Macaca fascicularis: one gene and its partner. The protein of the gene in region 2 interacts with the protein of the main gene of each other region in a biochemical or structural test. Links are inferred from orthologs where the notes say so. Each region holds a gene or a part of one and is shown on either strand. Other genes may lie near its edges.

Region 1 (6,363 bases), on a different chromosome or scaffold from region 2:
AGTAGCTGGGACTACAGGCGCCCGCCACCTCGCCCGGCTAGTTTTTTTTGTATTTTTTAGTAGAGACGGGGTTTCACCGTGTTAGCCAGGATGGTCTCTATCTCCTGACCTAGTGATCCGCCCGTCTCGGCCTCCCAAAGTGCTGGGATTACAGGCTTGAGCCACCGCGCCCGGCCCCCTGCCAATTTTTTTATTTTTTCTTAGAGACAGGGTGTCACTATGTTGCCCAGGCTGGTCTCGAACTCCTGGGCTCAATCAATCCTCTTGCTTTGGCCTCCCAAAGCGCTGAGATTACAGGTGTGAGCCACTGCACCTGGCCCACACTAACCTACCTCCTCCTCCTCCTGCCCCCATCAAGATTCCTCCCTGCTCCAAACTTTTGCCGAGGCTATTCCCCCTCCCCAGAATGCCTGTCTTTATGAACTCCTACACATCCTTCAAAGCCCAGCTAGTGGTCACCTCCTCTAGGAATTACACCTCTAACCTTTTTGGAGAAGATTGAGCCATCCAGGGAGGCTTCTTTATGTTTACACCAGGGGTGGTGCAAGACTAAGCTACAGTCTCTCTCAGGTAACACCCTCCCACACACCTTTTACTCCTTTGCTACCTGTGCCAGCCATCTGCTCCATTTCACAGAGGTAAAAACTCAGGCAAAGTGGGGCACTGACAGTCATAGAGGGAGAAATGTGGCAGAGCCGGGTCTCAAACCTGGAATTCTACACTCTCAGCTATCAGGCAGAGGCAGGAGCGGTGGCTCAAGACTGTAATCCCAGCATTTGGGAGGCTGAGGCAGGTGGATCGCCAGAGATCTGGAATTAGAGACTAGTCTGGTCAACTTGGTGAAACCCTGTCTCTACTAAAAATACAAAAATTAGCCAGGCATGGTGGCGGGTGCCTGTAGTCCCAGCTACTAGAGAGGATGAGGCAGGAGAATTGCTTGAACTTGGGAGATGGAGGTTGCAGTGATCCAGCCTGGGCAACATAGCAAGACTCTGTCTCAAATAAAAACAAAAACAAAAAAACAACCTATCAGAGATGCAGAAAAGACCTTCAAAGAGGTTTCCCTGGGGGTTTCAGAAGCTGCTTGGAATGTTCAGGGACTTCCCTCACCTGGGAAGGTCAGCATCTGCTCACCCACCCTCCAAATCAGGAGCAAAGCTGATCATTTACCCAGAGGCTTCCTTGTCCTGACACAATGATAGGAGAATGTCCTTTGTCCCTCACCGTGTCATTTTACCCATCAGAGGAGGTCTCACCTGATTGCAAAGTAAACACAGAAGCCATGTCCCCCACACTGTTAAAGGCCTTGCTAGGACTAGAACCCAAGGCTAATCCCAAAGCCACTTGGCCAGTTTTTATTTATTTATTTATTTATTTATTTATTTATTTATTGAGACGGAGTCTCGCTCTGTCGCCCAGGCTGGAGTGCAGTGGCGCGATCTCGGCTCACTGCAAGCTCCGCCTCCCGGGTTCACGCCATTCTCCTGCCTCAGCCTCCCGAGTAGCTGGGACTACAGGCGCCCACAACTGCGCCCGGCTAATTTTTTTGTATTTTTAGTAGAGACGGGGTTTCACCGTGGTCTCGATCTCCTGACCTTGTGATCCGCCCGCCTCGGCCTCCCAAAGTGCTGGGATTACAGGTGTGAGCCACCGCGCCCGGCCCAGTTTTTATTTTTTAGAGACAGGGTCTCTCTCAGTCACCCAGGCTGGAGTGCAGTGGTGTCATCACGGCTCACTGCAGCCTGGACATCCCGGGCTCAGGCGATCCTCCCACCTCAGCCTCCTGAGTATCTGGGACTACAAGTATGCCACCCACGCTTGGCTAGGTTTTTTATTTTTTGTAGCTATGGGGTCTTGCTGTGTTGCCCAGGCTGGTGTCCAACTCCTGGCCTCTAAGCAATCCTCCTACTTCGGCCTCCTAAATCGCTGGGATTATAGGCATATAGAGCCACTGTGCCTGGCCTGCCCAGTGCTCTTCTGTTTTTTCTTCTTTGATTTTGTTTTGTTTTCATTTGAATTCCTTATTTTGGCCTTGGTAACTAATTCTCACCATTCAAAGTCCCCAAAGTAGGAAGAACGCAAAGAGAATTCTCAGCTGAGCGCAGTGGCTAACGCCTGTAATCCCAGCCTTTGGGAGGCCGAGGCGGGCAGATCACAAGGTCAGGAGATCGAGACCAGCCTGGCCAAGATGATGAAACCCTGTCTCTACTAAAAATACAAAAATTAGCCGGGCATGGTGGTGGGCGCCTGTAATTCTAGCTACTTGGGGGGCTGAGGCAGAAGAATCGCTTGAACCCAGGAGGGAGAGGTTGCAGTGAGCCGAGATCATGTCATTGCACTCCAGGCTGGGGACACTGCAAGATTCTGTCTCAAAAAGACAACAACAACAAAAAAGAATTCTCGGTCGGGCGCAGTGGCTCACGTTGTAATCCCAGCACTTTGGGAGGCCGAGGCGGGCGGATCACCTGAGGTTGGGGTTTGAGACCAGCCTGACCAACATGGAGAAACCCTGTCTCTACTAAAAATACAAAATTTGCCAGGCGTGGTGGCGGGTGCCTATAATCCCAGCTACTCGGGAGGCTGAGGCAGGAGAATCACTTAAACTCGGGAGGCGGGGGTTGCAGTGAGCAGAGATCATGCCATTGCACTCCAGCCTGGGCAACAAGAGTGAAACTCTGTCTCAAAAAAAAAAAAAAAAAAAGAATTCTCCACACCCAAACCCTCTCCCACAGCCTCGCAGCCTGTCTTCTCATAGCCAACTAATATTGTCATTTCTCCCACTTCCTTTTAGGACTATTTTATACATAAATACAGCCTCCCCGAAACTGCCCCTCTGCCACTCCCTAATGTGAGGGTGGCATGCCATTCATATTCAACATACCTTCTTTCGTTTCTTTTCTTTTCTTTTTTTTTTTTTTTGAGACGGAGTTTCACTCTTCTTGCCCAAGCTGGAGTGCAATGGCGTAATCTCGGCTCACCGCAACCTCTGCCTCCCAGGTTCAAGAGATTCTCCTGCCTCAGTCTCCCAAGTAGCTGGGATTACAAGTATGTGCCACCATGCCTGGCTAATTTTTTTTTGTATTTTTAGTAGAGACGGGGTTTCTCCATGTTGGTCAGGCTGGTCTCGAACTACTGACCTCAGGTGATCCGCCCATCTCAGCCTCCCAGAGTGCTGGGATTACAGGCATGAGCCACTGCGCCCAGCCACCTTCTTTCATTTTGACTTTACAATACACCCCAGAGCTTATTCTTTTTCAGTTCACAGGAACTTCCTGATTCTTCTACACGGTCGCATGCTATTCTGTGGTATGGCCAAGCCACGCTTTCTCTCTCTAGCCTTTCCCATTTGCCCTTTGTACAAAGTGGCAGTGAATAGTGCCATAACTCCCACCACTTCCCTTGTAGGTAGGGACACCTATAGACCTCTTTCCAGGACTGGGTTTTTTTTTTTTTTTTTTTTTTGCTGTTTTTTTGTTTTTGTTTTTGAGACAGGGTCTCATTCTGTCTTCCATGCTGGAGTGCAGTGGCATGATCATAGCTCACTGCAGCCTCCATCTCCCTGGGCTCAGGTGATCCTCACACCTCAGCCTCATGAGTACCTGGGATTACAGACTTATGCCACCATGCCTAGCTAATTTTTTTTTTTTTTTTTTTTTTTGAGACACAGTCTCACTCTGTCACCCAGGCTGGCTAGAGTGCAGTGGCATGATCTCAGCTCACTGCAACCTCGGCCTCCTGGGTTCAAGTGATTCTCCTGCTTCAGCCTCCCAGGGATGGACTATAGGCACACTCCACCATGCCTGGCTAATTTTTTTGTTTTTTTGTTTTTTTTTTTTTGAGACGGAGTCTCGCTCTGTCGTCCAGGCTGGAGTGCAGTGGCCGGATCTTGGCTCACTGCAAGCTCCGCCTCCCAGGTTCACGCCATTCTCCTGCCTCAGCCTCCTGAGTAGCTGGGACTATAGGCGCCCGCCACTTTGCCCGGCTAGTTTTTTTGTATTTTTGTTTTGTAGAGATGGGGTTTCACCGTGTTAGCCAGGATGGTCTCGATCTCCTGATCTCGTGATCCGCCCGCCTCGGCCTCCCAAATTGCTGGGATTACAGGCATGAGCCACCGTGCCTGGCCTAAAGGGACTTTCTAAGGATGTCCCCACCTGCCCTTCAAGGAGCCCCTCCTTGACCCTACCAGCAAGTAACAAAGATTCTCCCAGGCCACTGCAGGTGCCCCTCTACGTCTCTCCCACTCCAGTCTGCCTAGTCCAGCCCTCCGGGCTCAGTTACTCACAGTACACGGTGAGGAGGGTTTTAGCTGATGACTGCCCATCAGGGCAGTTTGAATAGCACATTGGTTGACTATCTTCCTGCACATTGCTCAGTTCATACATCTTCCAGTTGTTTCCACCCGGGAGTATCTCCTTTTTAGGCAACGGAGTCTCCATGCCCAACGAGATGGGCTGGTCACAGGAGGCACTGCAATTCACTTTCACGGAGCCTCCCCGGGGCAGGATGACTTCTGGGGGGAACACAGATGTCTGGGCATTGCCAGGTCCTAGAAGAAACGCGGGAAGAGGTGACAGGCATTACAAATCAGGTTCATCAATGGGAATGTGCGCCCAGCCTGCGCCGGGTGCTGGAGGCACAGCCTCAACAAGACAATACTTTGCCTTCGATGTGGAAGTTAAAGAGAAAAATTCATGAGCAGGCCAGGCGCGGTGGCTCACGCCTGTAATCCCAGCACTTTGGGAGCCAAGGCGGGCAGATCACTTGAGGTCAGGAATTTGAGATCAGCCTGGCCAACATGGCGAAACCTCGTCTCCACTAAAAATACAAAAATTAGCCGGTCATGGTGGGATGTGCCTGTAGTCCCAGCTATTTGGGAGGCTGAGGCACCAGAATCACTTGAACCCGGGAGGCGGAGGTTACAGTGAGCCAAGATTGTGCCACTGTACTCCAGACTGAGCAACAGAACGAGGCTCTGTCTCAAAAAAAAAAAAAAAAAAAATTATGAGCAAACAAGATAATTAATAACTGATGTTAATATGAGCTTTGACAAAAACAAAACAGGGTGATAGAATAGACAGTGCCTTGGTGACAGGGTAATATTTCAGCAGAGATCGAAATGATGAGAAAGGGCTGGCTGTCCAGAGAAAAGGGAAGTAAGTTCCAGGCAAGTACAGAGGTCCTCGGGCAGGGTGGCTGGAGCTGAGTGAGCAAGGATGAAGAGCGGGAGATCAATTAAGGAAGATCCCATGGGCACTGAAGGCCATGCTAAAGATGTGTGCTGTTATTTATTATTATTATTATTTTTGAGATGGAGTCTCGCTTTGTCACTCAGACTGGAGTGCAGTGGCGCGATATCAGCTCACTGCAACCTCCGCCTCCCAGGTTCAAGTGATTCTCCTGCCTCAGCCTCCAGAGTATCTGGGACTAAGGCAAGCACCACCACACCCGGCTAATTTTTGTATTTTTAGTAGAGATGGGGTTTCGCCACGTTGGCCAGGCTGCTTTCAAACTCCTGACCTCAAGTGATCTGCCCACCTCAGCCTCCCAAAGTGCTGGGATTATAAGGTGTGAGACACCGTGCCCGGCCACATGTGTTCTTTATACTTAGGGCAATAGGGAGCCATGGGAGGATTTTAGCCATCGGTTTTTTTGTTTTTTTAACAGGTCTCCCTCTGTCACCCAGGCTGGAATACAGTGGTACAATCATAGCTCACTGTAACCTTGAACTCCTGGGCTCAAGTGATCCTCCCACCTCAGCCTCCCAAGTAGCTGGGACTACAGGACACCACCATACCTGGCTAATATTTGAAAAACATTTTTGTAGACATGGGGTCTCACTATGTTGCTAAGGCTGATCTCAAACTCTTCGCCTCAAGCGATTCTCCCACCTAAGCCTCCCAAAATGCCAGGATTACAGGTGTGAGTCACTGTGTCCAACCAGATTTTAACGTGAAGTTGGTGCCCTCCTCCCTCCCAAGAAGTAAGGTGGAGAGAGTCAGCCCTCCAGGAATCAGACTGGCTCCTCACTCCCTGAGACACGTAGCTTCCCCCTCTTTGGGCCTCAATTTCCCCATCTGTAAGGTGTGTGAGTATAGCCACCCTGTTCCTTGCTAATACAAGTAACTCAGCACAGGGCAGGTAGCAACTGGCTATCTCGCAGGTAAGGGCAGGTAAGAAAGGGGCTGCTGGGAGCGGTGGCTTACACCTGTAATCCCAGCACTTTGGGAGGCCGAGGCGGGCGGATCACGAGGTCAGGAGATCAAGGCCATCCTGGCTAACACCGTGAAACCCTGTCTTTGCTAAAAATACAAAAAAATTAGCCGGGCGTGGTGGCGGGCGCCTGTAGTCCCAGCTACTCCGGAG
Region 2 (6,363 bases):
CCTGCAGGTCACCTTCCGGGTGAAGGTCACGGCCACAGAGTGTATCCAGGAGCAGTCGTTTGTCATCCGGGCACTGGGCTTCACGGACACAGTGACCGTACGGGTCCTTCCCCAGTGTGAGTGCCGGTGCCGGGACCAGAGCAGAGACCGCGGCTTCTGCCATGGCAAGGGCTTCTTGGAGTGTGGCATCTGCAGGTGAGGCGGGCACAGGTCCCCGTGAAGCCTCCCCCAGCCCCACCCCACAGGGCAGGTGTCTGCAGGTGAGGCGGGCACAGGTCCCCACCCCACAGGGCAGGTGTCTGCAGGTGAGGTGGGCCCTGGTCCCTGTGAATGCTCCCCCAGTCCCACCCCACAGGGCAGGTGTCTGCAGGTGAGGCGGGCACAGGTCCCCGTGAAGCCTCCCCCAGCCCCACCCCACAGGGCAGGTGTCTGCAGGTGAGGTGGGTGCAGGTTCCCATGAAGCCTCCCCCAGCCCCACCCCACAGGGCAGGTGTAAGCAGGTAAGGTGGGCACAGGTGGCTCCATCCCCACCCCCACTCCACAGATCGGGCGTCCTGGGGGCCCCCTTCTGCAGGAGGTGGGGAGATTTGGGATTGGAACCCAGAAACCCTCGGCAAGCCCTCCCCCGTGCTCCTGAGCCAGGGCACCAGCGATGCCAGCCTGTACTCTACACTCTCTGGCCATGGAGGACCCAAGGCAGGGGACTGGTGGGCAGGAGGACCCCCTCACCAGAGGATAGAGGCCCATGTCAGGGGCACAAGGAGTCCCCACTGGGCGTGCCCATGGCCTTGAGTAGGTCACTTTCTCTGCCTGACCTTCCTTGACCCTCGGAGCTGGCTTCTTTCTGTCCTTGGGGACCCAAGGCTATCAGGCTGGCAGCCCTGGGGCATGAGAGGCCAGAGAGCCTCCTGGGACAGGTGACTGCTTCTGGCAGCCTGGGCCCCATAGGCCTCCCTTCGGGAGTGCACACCCCCTGCCAGGCGTGGGCACCCCACCTCAGGGAGAAGCTGGGGACAGGTGGACCCAGCGGGGAGGTTCACATGGCATTCAGCCAGGAGGCTTACCCTGGGGCTGGATGGCTCTCCCCCTTTCCTTGCCTGCCTGGCGGAGCTGCTGGGCTGACCTCCCAGGGCTCTGCCCCGTTTGCTCTGGCCACCTCCTCCCCTCTCCAGACTGCTGTGCCAGTCCACGCCCTGGTGGCAGTGGACCTGCAGGTCCCTGCTGCCCCCAGCCTCCTCCCATTTCTCAGGACAGTGATGGTCTCTGTGGTCTTGGTGGTCTCTGGCTGTCCCCGTGCCTCAGTGCCCACCCTGCCCACTATCCTGGGTGTGCAGTCCTGGGGCGGCCTCTTCACGGGACTGTAGGGGTGACTCAGTCGAAACACTTGGCAGGTGTCGCGGGGTGCCCTGCCGCAGGTAATCAGATGCTCGGTCCTGTGGCTTCCTCCTCTGGGGAGCAAGACAGCCCATGGCAGGGCTGTCCCTGAGGATGCCTCAGGGGCTCCTGTCTGCCCGCGTCTTGGTGACAGCTTCCACATCTGACAAAACCACTTGTCCCTGAGTTCTCCCACAACCTGGCCGGTCAGTGCACAAACGCAGGCGGCAGCTGGCTGGAGAGAGGGCGGGGCTGTGGCAGGTGGCAGTGCCAAGTCCCCGCTGGCCACCACGTGGGGCATGCAGGAGCAGACACCAGCCACTCACAGGGCACCAGTGTCGCAGCACAGGCCATGTGCATGGCAGCAACACAGCTGCACAGTGAGCCTGCCGAGCCGCTGCATGCTCAGGCCGAGGCCAGGTGTCTGCTTTCCCCTCGGGACATCCTGGGGAGGGAGCCCAGGGCCCCCGCACGTTTTGAGCACATTTAGTACATGGCAGGTCCTCAGTAGGCCTCGAGGAAGGCACAGACAGTGTGCCACAGGGGTGTTCTCCACCAAGGGCAAGGGGCCTGGAGGACGGGGCGGCCGTCTCACATCACTGTGGGGAGCCTGACCTTGGAGCTCCTCCTGTCCCCAGGTGTGACACTGGCTACATTGGGAAAACCTGTGAGTGCCAGACGCAGGGCCGGAGCAGCCAGGAGCTGGAAGGAAGCTGCCGGAAGGACAACAACTCCGTCATCTGCTCAGGGCTGGGGGACTGCGTCTGCGGGCAGTGTCTGTGCCACACCAGCGACGTCCCCGGCAAGATGATATACGGGCAGTACTGCGAATGTGACACCGTCAACTGTGAGCGCTACAACGGCCAGGTCTGCGGCGGCCCGGGTGAGCCCGTAGGTCCCTGCTGTACAACAGCCGTCCTGCGGCACAGACTCGGCGTTGGGGGGTGCATTCTGGAACACGCAACGAGTGGAACAAAAAGGGGGGATCCTGAGGACAGACAGCGCAAGTCTCGCCCGGCCACTGGGCGTCAGCAGGAACTTGGACGACCCTGCACCCCGCCCTGCCTCAGTTTCTGTCTCCATGAGGGCAAGGGGTCCTTGTGGGGAGGGTCCACAGGAGGAACGATCACAGCCCTACCGAGGTCCCATTCACAGCAGGGCAGGGGCAGGCCCAGACTGGCCAGGAGGTGGCCACGTGGCTGACAGGGGCTGGAAGGCCTGGCTAGTGGCCCGGTGCCTTTTGCTCAGGCACATCCCCCAAGCTGGAGGGGGCAGGTGGGCCGGAGGGAGCGACAGCAGTGGGGTTTCGGGCGGGTCTCGGTCCCCAGGCCAAGCAGGAGCTTAGTCGTGCTGCCCCCGTCTTCCAGCGAGGGGGCTTTGCTTCTGCGGGAAGTGCCGCTGCCTCCAGGGCTTCGAAGGCTCAGCGTGCCAGTGCGAGAGGACCACCGAGGGCTGCCTGAACGCGCGGCGCGTCGAGTGCAGCGGCCGTGGCCGGTGCCGCTGCAACGTGTGTGAGTGCGAAAGGAATTACCAGCCTCCTTTGTGCCAGGAGTGCCCCGGCTGCCCCTCGCCCTGCGGCGAGCACATGTGAGTGCAGGTGGAGCAGGCAGGGTGGGCAGGGATCCCTGCTCCCCGGCCACCTCCCCAGCAGCTGGGCTCACTCAGGGTCCCCAGTGAGCACCTCTGCACCTCAGGGTTCTCTGCGGGTGCATTTGGACTGAGGAGCCCTCAGCGGCCGCTGCACCCCTGTGCCCCCCTCCCTCCTGTGCGCACCTGCCATGGGCCCTGGGATCAGGCTCCCAGTTCACCCACTGCACCCCGCATCTGCCCCACTCGGGCCCCCTCCTTGGCCTGAGGACACCCCAACCCCACCTGCCCCACCTGGTGGACACACACCCAAGCCCAAGCCCCTGATGCCTGAGCCCCCGCACGCCCTGGCACCCACGCTCACGCCTGGCTCCCCACAGCTCCTGTGCTGAGTGCCTGAAGTTCGACAAAGGCCCTTTCGGGAAGAACTGCAGCGCGGCGTGTCGGCGCCTGCAGCTGTCGAACAACCCCGTGAAGGGCAGGACCTGCAAGGAGAGGGACTCAGAGGGCTGCTGGGTGACGTACATGCTGGAGCAGCAGGACGGGTGGGATCACTACATCATCTATGTGGATGAGAGCCGAGGTGAGGCCACTGGGGTGTAGCGGGGACCGGCTCCAGAGCTCCGACTGCGGGGTCTCTGCAGAGGCGAGGGTGGTGCAGAAGCAGGGTCTCACCTCCAGTGGTGTGGGCCTAGCAGGGTGGGTGAGCCATGCGGGATGCCCTTGGTGGCATTGCAAGGAGGCCAGAGGCCAGTTCCCCCAACCCCGAGCAGCCTCCCTTTTCCATCCCCTCCTCACCTGACCCCGCATCAAGCTGGGCAGCAGATGGCCTGTTCCCTGGGGCACCGCTGCTCCACACCGGGCAGGCCCACCAGCATGCCACACTGCCCGGGCCAGGTCATCTCCCACTGGATGCCTCATGGGGCCAGGCTTGGAGTTGCAGGTCCCTAGGGGTGGCCTGAGGTCAGGCTGCTGAGTGAAGCTCCCCTGAGGGGATTGAAAGATCCTGGTGCTCGGCTTTCAGCCCTGGAAGGGCCCAGGGGCACCAGGCACTGCCATCCCCCAACACTCTCTGCTCGTCACTCATTTGGCTCCAGTCGGAACCAGGCCCAGCCCCACGGTGACCTTGGTGGCACTGACCCTGTCTTTTCAGGTCTCATGTTCCACAGGCTCCCGAGAGGCAGAGGGGCTGGGACTGGGGGGCCGCTGGCGGACTCCATCAGGCATGGCCAGCAGCCAGCCAGAACTCTTGCAGGACTGAGACCTGGGAGCTCCTCCCTCCCCAGGAGGGGACCCAAGGCAGGCAGTGGGGTGCTCTGAGCCCAGTGCTCTGACATGCCTGGAGCTCACAACCCACACGTGGGCCTGGGGCTGCAGACCCCCGTCTGCCAGGGCAGGAACCCCTGCAGGCCACTTTGAGGGACAGACCTGGGTCATGTCTGGTTTGTGCAATCCCGGTCAAGTCACTTCACCTTTGAGGACAGGTGAAGGAAGGCAGACCCCCCACCAGGAAAGACAGGATGGCAGGAGGGGGCCCGGGGAGTGAGGGTGCGGGTCAGGATGGCAGGAGGGGCACAGGGAGTGAGGGTACGGGTCAGGATGGCAGGAGGGGCATGGGGAGTGAGGGTGCGGGTTAGGATGGCAGGAGGGGGCACGGGGAATGAGGGTGCGGGTTAGGATGGCAGGAGGGGACCCGGGGAGTGAGGGTGCGGGTCGGGACGGCAGGAGGGGGCCCAAGGAGTGAGGGTGCAGGTCAGGATGGCAGGAAGGGGCATGGGGAGTGAGGGTGCCAGGTCAGGCCAGGGACTGCCTGTCTGTCCCAGGGTCAGCAGCTGTGGGCCTGGTCCACTATGGCCACAGTCCCCATGCTCAGGAGGTGAGCACAGCTGCTGCGGGAACCAGGACCTCACGCTGCTTATCCTGGTAGCGGCCTCACCTGCTGAGCTCAGATCTGGGCCTGTCCTTGACGACCATAAATCACCTTCGCAGTAGGGGGAGCGAACGCCAGCAGGGACCCTGAGCCTTATTCTGAACTCTGATGTAGAACAGTGGGGTCCCTCACACTGTCTCCTACCTCCCAGTATTAGCGCTCTGCCCTGGCTGCCCAGTACCCTGGCCCTGCCTTCTTCTCTGTGAGCAGGGGTGGTGGCAGTGGCCCTTAGATTTCATTTGGAACCATGGGGCCTGGCATTGAATCCGGCAGGGGCTCGGCCAGGTTCTCACTGACCCCTGGCCGTGGTGATGGACGGTGAGCCAGGGCCCTGGGAACCTCCGTCTCTCTAAGTGCTGTGTTGTGCGGTGACCTCGGACCTGTGGGCACACACGGCCCAGTGAGATGGGGCTGGACTGATGCTCGGTGCGCTGCTTCTTCCTAGAGTGCGTGGCGGGCCCCAACATCGCCGCCATCGTCGGGGGCACTGTGGCAGGCATCGTGCTGATCGGCGTCCTCCTGCTGGTCATCTGGAAGGCCCTGACCCACCTGAGCGACCTCCGGGAGTACAGGCGTTTTGAGAAGGAGAAGCTCAAGTCCCAGTGGAACAACGTAAGCTGCCATCCTCCGGGGTCCCACGCAGAGGGGCGTGTACGTCCCACACTCTGCGACCTCCTGCTGCGGGAGGCCATGGACACCCACGCATGGCTGCACCTCGGCCTCCCCGGGCAGCTTGTCCTCTGGGCATCCGCCGCTGTGGGTGAGCTTGGCCGCCGGTGCTGGGACCCTGGGAGGGCTGCCCCACCTCCAGCTCTTCCTCAAAGCGACGGCTTCCATGCGGGGAGTATCTTCAGGTATAAAGATTCTGCTCTGAAAACCTCCCACACTCACAAGCCTGTTTGCGTTTCCCACCAGGATAATCCCCTTTTCAAGAGCGCCACCACGACGGTCATGAACCCCAAGTTTGCTGAGAGTTAGGAGCACTTGGTGAAGACAAGGCCATCGGGCCCACCACGTCTGCCCCGTCACGCGGCCGAGACATGGCTTGCAACAGCTCTCGAGGATGTCACCAATTAACCAGAAATCCAGTTATTTTCTGCCCTCAAAATGACAGCCATGGCCAGCCAGGTGCTTCTAGGGGCTCATCAGGGGGGACAGCCCTGCTCTGACCTGCACAGTCCTTGCATGGAGACGTGAGAAGGGAGGGCTTGAGGCTGCTGAGGTGAGGAGCGTGTCTCCTGTGCAAGGCAGGACAGTCCGGTTAAAGGTGGTGCCAATTTATTTACATTTAAACTTGTCAGGGTATAAAATGACATCCCATTCATTAAATTGTTAATCAATCATGTGTATAGAAAAAAAATAAAACTTCAACACAGGCTGTCCATGGAAACTGGCCACTGTGTCTGCTGTGTTCCCCCGACTGGCAAGGTGGCCAGGCGCACGGGGGCCCTGTCCTGCCTGCTGACCTTGGC

The links.
Region 1: the proteins of ITGB2 (region 2) and ICAM1 form a complex in vitro, tested with the Homo sapiens proteins (4 studies listed by BioGRID). The link is inferred for Macaca fascicularis from reciprocal best matches to the Homo sapiens genes ITGB2 and ICAM1.

Annotation. Positions count from the first base shown.
Region 1 is NC_088393.1:10,829,761-10,836,123, reverse strand, and holds part of ICAM1 (intercellular adhesion molecule 1), read right to left. Parts: intron 4,547-6,363; coding exon 4,283-4,546; intron 1-4,282. UniProt on the Homo sapiens protein: ICAM proteins are ligands for the leukocyte adhesion protein LFA-1 (integrin alpha-L/beta-2).
Region 2 is NC_088377.1:2,151,582-2,157,944, forward strand, and holds the end of ITGB2 (integrin beta-2), read left to right. Parts: intron 1-7; coding exon 8-195; intron 196-2,012; coding exon 2,013-2,257; intron 2,258-2,741; coding exon 2,742-2,961; intron 2,962-3,341; coding exon 3,342-3,544; intron 3,545-5,336; coding exon 5,337-5,503; intron 5,504-5,806; coding exon 5,807-5,869; 3' UTR 5,870-6,281; downstream 6,282-6,363.